2 linked regions of the Drosophila melanogaster genome follow. The protein of the gene in region 1 interacts with the protein of each later gene in a pairwise test. Each region holds a gene or a part of one and is shown in the gene's direction. Other genes may lie near its edges.

What was found. The genes of interacting proteins can lie anywhere in the genome.
Region 2: the proteins of CASK (region 1) and veli interact in a two-hybrid assay, tested with the Drosophila melanogaster proteins (2 studies listed by BioGRID).

Annotation. Positions count from the first base shown.
Region 1 is NT_033777.3:21,819,619-21,824,403, reverse strand, and holds the start of CASK (CASK), read left to right. Parts: upstream 1-1,729; 5' UTR 1,730-1,921; intron 1,922-3,380; 5' UTR 3,381-3,698; coding exon 3,699-3,757; intron 3,758-4,637; coding exon 4,638-4,750; intron 4,751-4,785.
Region 2 is NT_033777.3:25,063,857-25,067,321, reverse strand, and holds veli (veli), read left to right. Parts: upstream 1-1,730; 5' UTR 1,731-1,807; coding exon 1,808-1,844; intron 1,845-1,907; coding exon 1,908-2,461; intron 2,462-2,525; coding exon 2,526-2,675; 3' UTR 2,676-2,904; downstream 2,905-3,465. Other genes in the region: Stt3B (catalytic subunit 3B of the oligosaccharyltransferase complex), read left to right, coding at 1-189, 244-315; PQBP1 (Poly-glutamine tract binding protein 1), read right to left, coding at 689-1,320, 1,381-1,444; stac (staccato), read right to left, coding at 3,053-3,144, 3,206-3,387, 3,445-3,465.

The DNA of each region.
Region 1 (4,785 bases):
TTTATATATATATATTTTTCAAGATTCGCGTTTTAAATAAAAAAACAAAATTTTTTTTTCTTTTCTATATATTTTAGCTGGCTGATACAAGTAGGTAAAACCACTTAAGAATGAGGAAGGTGTGTACTTTTTAGTTTATACCCAAACTATTTGATTGATCTCACAAATTATGAAAGAAGTTGTATAAATTAAAAAAAAAATTAATTACTTTTTTATTATTTCTGAATATTTCATAGTGCGTATAATTTAATTGGCTGCTATTTTACAATCGAAAGGTGGACATTAGTGGGTGACCACTGTTGTTATTGCTGATCATTAACACTTGTTGTTTTTGCTGCTCATCTCGAAATGGTTGTTGGTGCTTATCCTTTTCGACTATATCCCCCGTAGTAATATGGCCATATTGAGTTCATTTTCATCAGGTCTTTCTTCATTTGGCTGATGGTTTTGTGTTTGTTGCTCCCTTATTGGCTTGTTGTTTCTCTTGCATCTTATCTGTGTGTTGTTGTCGTTGGGCGTTTGGCGGTGATTGTTGTTGTTGTTGCTGTTCGAGGTTTTGTAATTGATGATGTTTATGTTTGAGTATTGGCCCCCGTCACCAGCCCCTTCCAACTGATTTAAAGATTACGCACCTACGGTTTTTATTTTTTATTTTCGAGGAGTGCGTGTGGGTTTTCCTCGTCTTCGGTTGAGGGACTCCTGTGTGTGTGCCTGGCATATTAATGCCAAGATCTTAATTTATTCTAATGGGTTTATCAAATGCTGTGGGGTAATAATAATAATAATAGATAAAGTTGAATGGCGCGAAAGAGAAGTAATGTAAATAATATGGTAATATTCAATGAGCTGTGAACGAGCCTGGCGATAAAGTAAGTTGATAAAGGTTCTGTAGTGAAAATCCCTGTATTAACACACTGGTGGCTTAGTCCAGTTAAATAAATCGTGAATCATTTTTGAAGGGGAAAATGTTTACTTTCAAGTTGATGAATGGTAATTGGCATCGTATTGCCGATAAAACTGGAAAGTGTTCGAAATTCGTATGTGCAATATTCCACAATAGCTTTATGCACTTGCTTGCGTACCGCATAAATATTTACCTCCATTTGACTTCACTCAAGCGGAAACAATTCAGTGTGCAATGAATTATCTTACTTTCGAGTAAATTTATTAAGCATGCAGTGGGTATTTATCAAAGGAAAACAACTGCCTTTTGCTGATAAGTCAAGCAAATAAAAGCATATGCAAAATGCTACCGAAGAGAAAGGAGCAGGAAAATATAATTTACTTTTTCTTTAACAAAATTAAAGTTTTAATAGTATTTATTTTCAATTTCGATAAAACATCTGTGTCGTTATGAATGACTATATTCTTAACAATATTCCAAAATTATACTTTCTCGTCCCCAAAACTTTTTTTCAAAAACTTCCGCGCAAATTTTAACAGACCAAATAAAGTTAATAACAAAATGACAGAAAAGCTTAGATACCAACGGGTTTCTGGTATTTTTCCAGTATAACCAGTTGCTTGATTCAAACAAACTTTCTTGAATTAAAACTTTGATTAACGAAGTAAGTTGCTGCAGTACCACCCTTAAATTTATTTTAAAAACAATATTTTTAATGAACACAGGTTGGTATCAATTTTCAATGGGAGAGCCGTGAACCGACTCCAAGTTCCGAACCAATCCAGCAATGCACCTGCAGCCCTGGAATTCTAGTTCGCGGCGAACCGGTTCAGTTGCAACCAGTTCTTCGCCAATCAATTCCTCACGGGCCGTGTTTGTTTTAAGTTAAAATTAGTAAATTACCCAATGCAATCAGCTTGCCAGGCGATTCGTGCTGCGCACCTAGACAATCGAGTGCTAATGCGATTCGCTAAAATGCCAAAAACCAGCGGCCGTTGAAGAATCGCTGCCAAATCGGTGGGTTTTCGTACATAAAACTATATGCGAATTGTTCGTGCCAGTGTGTGTTCGTGTGTGTGTGTGTGTGTGTGGTGTGAGTGTGGCCCCCTCTATGTGTGGCCGATAAAGGGGGCGGTGTCGTTGATAAGGGGGCGTGGAACATGAGCAATGCAAATCCTTTAGACAAAGAATCAATTTGCCAATTGTGCGACACTCGAGAGTCTCAAAAAGTCCTAAAAGCAGGGCCAAATGCACACACATAGTCAGTGAGTGAGTGTATGTGGGTGTGGGTGGGTGCGTTAGTGAGGTGGGCGGTAAGGTCGTGTGGAAAGTGTCAAGGCATTTTACAACAGCGGCACACGAGCAAGGTAAAACCCTCGAGCCCGAATACTAAAACCGAGCCAAAAACACCGCGCCCCATGCGCAGCTCTGCATTAAACATGACTACCAGAAAGTCCTTCGCGGGGATTCCCCGCAAATGCTCCGTCCTGCTCTCGCAGTCGCAACTCAGTTCTCCACATTTCGTGTGTGCATCGTAAATTGTTGCACATTTAAATATTCATGCAGCCCGGGCAGAAAGCATAGCTTATATTTTTTACGATTACAATTTTGGTGCTTTACACGAATTTCCCACGGCGCCGGCGCACTTTACATCCATGCTCGCCATCTTTCTCGCACTCCTTCGCTCTCTTTCACACTCTCTCGCTCTCTGGCTTTCTCCTTTCGGATTTTTGGAGTGCCATCAAAGTTTTGAAAAGTATGTTCAAGTGCTGGACCAAAAGGCATAATAATAGTATGGCCAAGACAAAGGTAGCGCCTCCCATCCACCCTCCCCCCCTGCGAACTTTCCCCGCGAACATCCTTGGAACGAGACCCTCGAAAAGGACACATTCTGCAGGTCCTGCTGGCTTGTTTACCTTTTCAGCTGGCCATCATTTCCGTTGCAAAATTCACAACGCCCACTGTGCGGGGATACTTCCTTCCTACCATTGGCACTTTCGACAGCATTTTGTGCATTTGTGGTGTGTGCCGCCTGTAATTGATTGGGGTTTACACCTGATATGAGTGTGATTGACATATCAAACAAGTTTCGGCCAGGCCAGTCTCATTTCCGTTGCGACACCATTAACAGTGGTCCCTCGAAAAGTGTTCCCATCACACAAGTGTCAACACGCCAGCCCAACTTTATAGTGGCATTTTCAATTTGATTGATTCAGATAGCATTATAAACTTAACTTAGTTTGTAAGTAAGATTACAAAATATTTAGGAAATTATTAGCAAATTTTCTTGATTAAAATCTGTGTATAATTTTTCACAAATGTAAACAAATTTGTTTATATTTGCGTCATCTGCTTGACAGAATTCTCGCAAAGCTTCTTGACAGTTTCTTAATTAGACGCCAAATAAATCTGATTAGCGGCCTTCAACTAATGGAAAAACTCACCTTCACCATTTTCACTTGTTATATTTTTCCAGCGCAAAATGCATTCTTAACATCAGCAGCTACGAAAACAGCAACAGCATTAGCGGCAACAACGAATCAACGACACCAATAACAATACCATTAACAACAAATCATCAGAAGAAACCGAAGGAAAACGCTCAAAGTTTTGGAGTTGCTCACTGGCCGCTTAGTTTTTTGTTTATTTTTTATGTTCGTTTTTGGAGGGCAGTAGGCGACGACGGGCAAAGGAAGCGGGAGAAGGAAAAGCGACGGACACGAAAAACAGGACACAACTCATCAATATTCGAAAAAGCAATTGAGTCGAGGCATCAATTCATCAATTATTCAAAATGACCGAAGACGAAATTCTCTTTGACGACGTCTACGAGCTGTGCGAGGTCATTGGCAAGTAAGTTAGCGCCCCACCGGCTATATCTTTAGCCGATTCTGCTGCTGACAGCTGGCATCCATGGCCATTATCTCATTATGTATTATGTATCCGCCCCGTATGCCCATCCCACCCACCCAGAAGCCGTAAATCATGCAACTATTGGCCTGGGACGAAGCCAGCTCCCCTCTATAAAAAACTTTCCCAAACGCCCAACTTTTGCATTATTCAAAAATGTATGACCAAACATTTTCTGTGCTAGTTACTTTTGCTGTGATCATCATAGTTTAGCCAGAAGTTCATTCACAAAGCTGTCAATGTTATTAAGTTGAACTTTGTTTAATTTCGTTGGAAAAATATTTTTCACTGATGTTGAAAATGTTCCATTAACACACTTCTAAAGTTTATTGAAAATGAAGTGTGAGTCACTAAATAGCACGTTTTTTAATTTTTTGCAATTTATAATCTATAAACTATAAGCAAAATGACGACCTTGAATCGCAATAGTTTTCCAAATTCAGCTTGGTGACATAGTTCAATAAAAATTAATCACGCTCATAAAACAAGATGATAGGAAATCGTTGCTTGACTTTAAATGAGTTATTGAATAGGAATTTGTAAGAAAATTAAAATTTATTTGTAAAATAATCATCAGTAATGTTATGGCAAGCTTTTGTATTAAAACCCCACGTTTGTAACTACAAAGAGAATACATAGTTGATTAAATTTCCTCTTTCTCAAGTATCTTGTTTGCTTTTAGACGCTCGGAAAATATAAATATTTTGCTTTTGTCGAAGCAAGATAAAATTTTATTCGCTCCCATTTAGACACAATCAACTTTCAATTGAAGTTTAATCCGAATTTACTTTATTCCCCCCCCATCCGGGATTGTTTCTTACAGAGGACCTTTCTCCATCGTAAGGCGATGCATACACAGGGAGTCCAATCAGCAGTTTGCCGTCAAAATCGTTGATGTGGCCAAGTTCACAGCGAGTCCTGGACTGAGCACAGCGGGTGAGGATTATATACACAATACACCTATATATATA
Region 2 (3,465 bases), 3.2 Mb from region 1:
GGATATGATCGCACACGTAACGCCGTCATTGGGAATAAGGACTTCGATCTGACCTACCTGGAGGAGGCCTACACCACAGAACACTGGCTTGTTCGCATCTATAGGGTGAAGAAGCCGCATGAGTTCAATAGACCATCACTGAAGACCAAGGAGAGAACGATTCCTCCAGCAAACTTCATTTCGAGAAAGGTAGTGTACCCTGCAGCTCCCAATGAACTTCATTAACAATCTGATTCTTTGCAGAACTCTAAGCGTCGCAAGGGCTACATACGAAACCGACCGGTTGTTGTTAAGGGAAAACGAACCTTGAAATAAACCCAAAAAAAAAATAATTGTATTGATCTTTCACCAATATATATAACTTGGTTAAAACACTTTACACATAGCACATAGTTTGGTGAAAGTGTGTCCACCGCATCCTCATGTTGAGGGCTTTAATCGCCGCCTCAAATTCAACTTTCACATACTTCCCGACTCGTGCGACACAATTTTATCGAGTTGCTGCTTTCGTAAAATTTCCGGTTCCTTCGATTTAAATCTGTTCGCGGCTCCACCATTCATTGTCTTAAGCTAGCAATTCAATAAAGCAGAGTGTACATTTTTAAACCTTAATATCTATCATAGTTATTCATTTTTATTTGAACAGTAGCGATCTACAGCTCATAAGTCAAATGGCTAGTTAGTAGTGCTAGTTATCATTACGGCGACGTCGTTGGATTTTTCGTTCCAGGTCCCTGGACTTTTGCTTCTTGGCGGGAACGAATACGTCGGGCTCGTCGGGTTCATTTTGGTTAGAAGACTTGGGCTGAACCATGTTGGTATCGAAGTTGAACTCATCGTTGGAGTTGGCCAGTTGTCTGCGAAACACTGCGGCGCTGTTGGTGATCCGTGCTTTGGGATGCGAAGGAGGTAGCCACGAAACAGTCTGTGTGGTCGAGTTATAGAAGTAAAACGCCTTGCAGCCCTTATCGTAGACATCCTTCCAGCCCGCCTCCAGTGGATACTTCCGCAGCAATCTCTTGTAGCGCTTGAGATACCTATGGCTGGGCTGCGAAAGCGGCGAGCTGTTGAACTTGTTTACGCAGTACAGCGAGCACTTGTGGTATATGTTGTATTTGTTGGGACACAGCTTGTAGCCATGGTAGGACTCGTTCACGCCGATCCGCTCCTTGATGCGGTGCGACCAGAACTTCTCCTCGACGCTCCTGCGCTTGGGCTCCGGCGATGTGTCCTCCTTGTACGGGTAAGGGCCGCTCTTGTCATCGTCATCGTAGTTCTCGGCTATAATCTCTTCTATAGCTTCTGAAATCGGTGCTGCTCCTGTGGAAAGCTGAAGTTGGTTATCCTCTTTTTGGATTCTATACTGGTCTTTGTATTTACCCGACTGTTTGGTCACAAGTCCGCGCTTCTTCAGGCGCTGCAATAGTGCAGCTGGCAGGCTCATTTTGCTATTATTCTATTGTTAGTTTAAATAAATACGGTGCGGAAATAATATCAATATAAAATAATATGACCATGGATGTACGTGCATAAAATACCACACTTTCAAGAAACTTGTTTGTTTCAAAAGATAATTTTTTAAACGAAAAGTACTGAGATTAGATTATAAGTATATGATATATTGTTAAATATAAAAAATATAACTTTTGTTACTATTTTATTAAACCAAATTATTTCAAATAGAGAATATAATTTCACGGAATGGTATTTTGTGCCCCTGAGACGTATGGTCATATTATTTTCAGCTGCTCGAATAATATTTCAGGTCAGCTCAATTTGACTGATTATTATTAAATTGAACAGCAATATGGCCGATAACGCAGAACCACTGACTTTGTCCAGAGGTAAGGGTGCATGCTAACCATTCCCAGTTGGAGGAAACTCACACCCAATGCTCTAACTTTCAGATGTCAAAAGATCGATAGAGCTCTTGGAAAAGCTGCAAGCGAGTGGCGACTTCCCCACGACAAAACTGGCCGCCCTGCAGAAGGTGCTCAACTCGGACTTCATGACCTCCGTGCGGGAGGTGTACGAGCACGTCTACGAGACGGTGGACATCCAGGGCTCCCACGACGTGAGGGCATCCGCCACTGCCAAGGCCACTGTGGCAGCCTTCGCAGCCAGCGAGGGGCACGCTCATCCCAGAGTCGTCGAGCTCCCGAAAACGGAGGAGGGTAAGACACGCCCCTATGAGCTAAGAATCGAGGGGATTCCCCTATATCATAAAACCAATACCTTGATTGTAAAGGTCTATAGACCGAGAATATATGTTTCTATTATACATCTTATATGGAAAGCTTTATCAATCTTTAATTTTTGTTTTTCAGGCTTGGGTTTCAATGTAATGGGGGGCAAGGAGCAAAACTCGCCCATCTATATATCCCGAATAATACCTGGAGGCGTGGCTGACAGGCATGGTGGTCTGAAAAGGGGAGATCAACTTTTGTCTGTGAATGGTGTGGTAAGTCATTAATTCAGTTATGTACCTTAACTCCTTAAGAACTTGCAAAATATCAATATTTCAGTCTGTCGAAGGAGAAAACCACGAGAAGGCCGTAGAGCTATTAAAGCAAGCTGTCGGATCTGTAAAGCTGGTGGTACGCTACACACCAAAGGTTCTCGAGGAAATGGAAATGCGATTTGATAAGCAACGCAACACACGTCGTCGCCAATAAGGCACATCGGCAAAAACTTGTGCCATAGTAGTTTTTGCCATTAGACCATGCTGATATGCACGTATCAAGCCCTTTACGAATAATATAATTTAACACAAATACCATTTATATATTATTTATTACAAAGAAACTCTGGAAAATTACTCTTTAATCGTAAAAAGTGAGTGTTATGTATTTGTAACTAATTACCGCGTTGGTTTTTGTTCCAATAAATGTAATTAAAACTGTCAGACAATGCAAATCTTTTCTTCATAAGTTTCAGTCCATAAATGGGGCCCATTTCAAAACGCAACTTTGTAAATTTTAGTACGATTGCCGTAGAAAATATAAAAATACAGTTTTATTGCTTTTCTTTACAACGTATAACTTTTCACAATTTAGGAGAAGGATCGGTTCTTCAGCTTTTTAAGGAAATCCTTGGCCTGCTTATCACCTAGTCTGTATTCCAAGGCACGCAGTGATTCGGAATCTGAAAGCACATAACATGTATAAGTTTCCAGTTTTAATCTGCCAAAAGTATGATTAGGTACCTGTATACTCTGGTCTGGATAGATTCATCATTATTTGCTCGCCCGGTGGTGTCGCTTCCAGATCTGCGAAAGATATATAGCTCTCTGCTATATACTGGCTCGACATGCCGAATAAATCTTTATCTTTGATGCTAAATACAATAAGACTATTCTTTTCACTTCGCTGGTGGTCACTCAAGTTTCTGCCGAATGAAGGTATATTTATATATGGATGCATAAATTAAAAAGTAACTACTTACATACGAAACTCCTGATCGTAA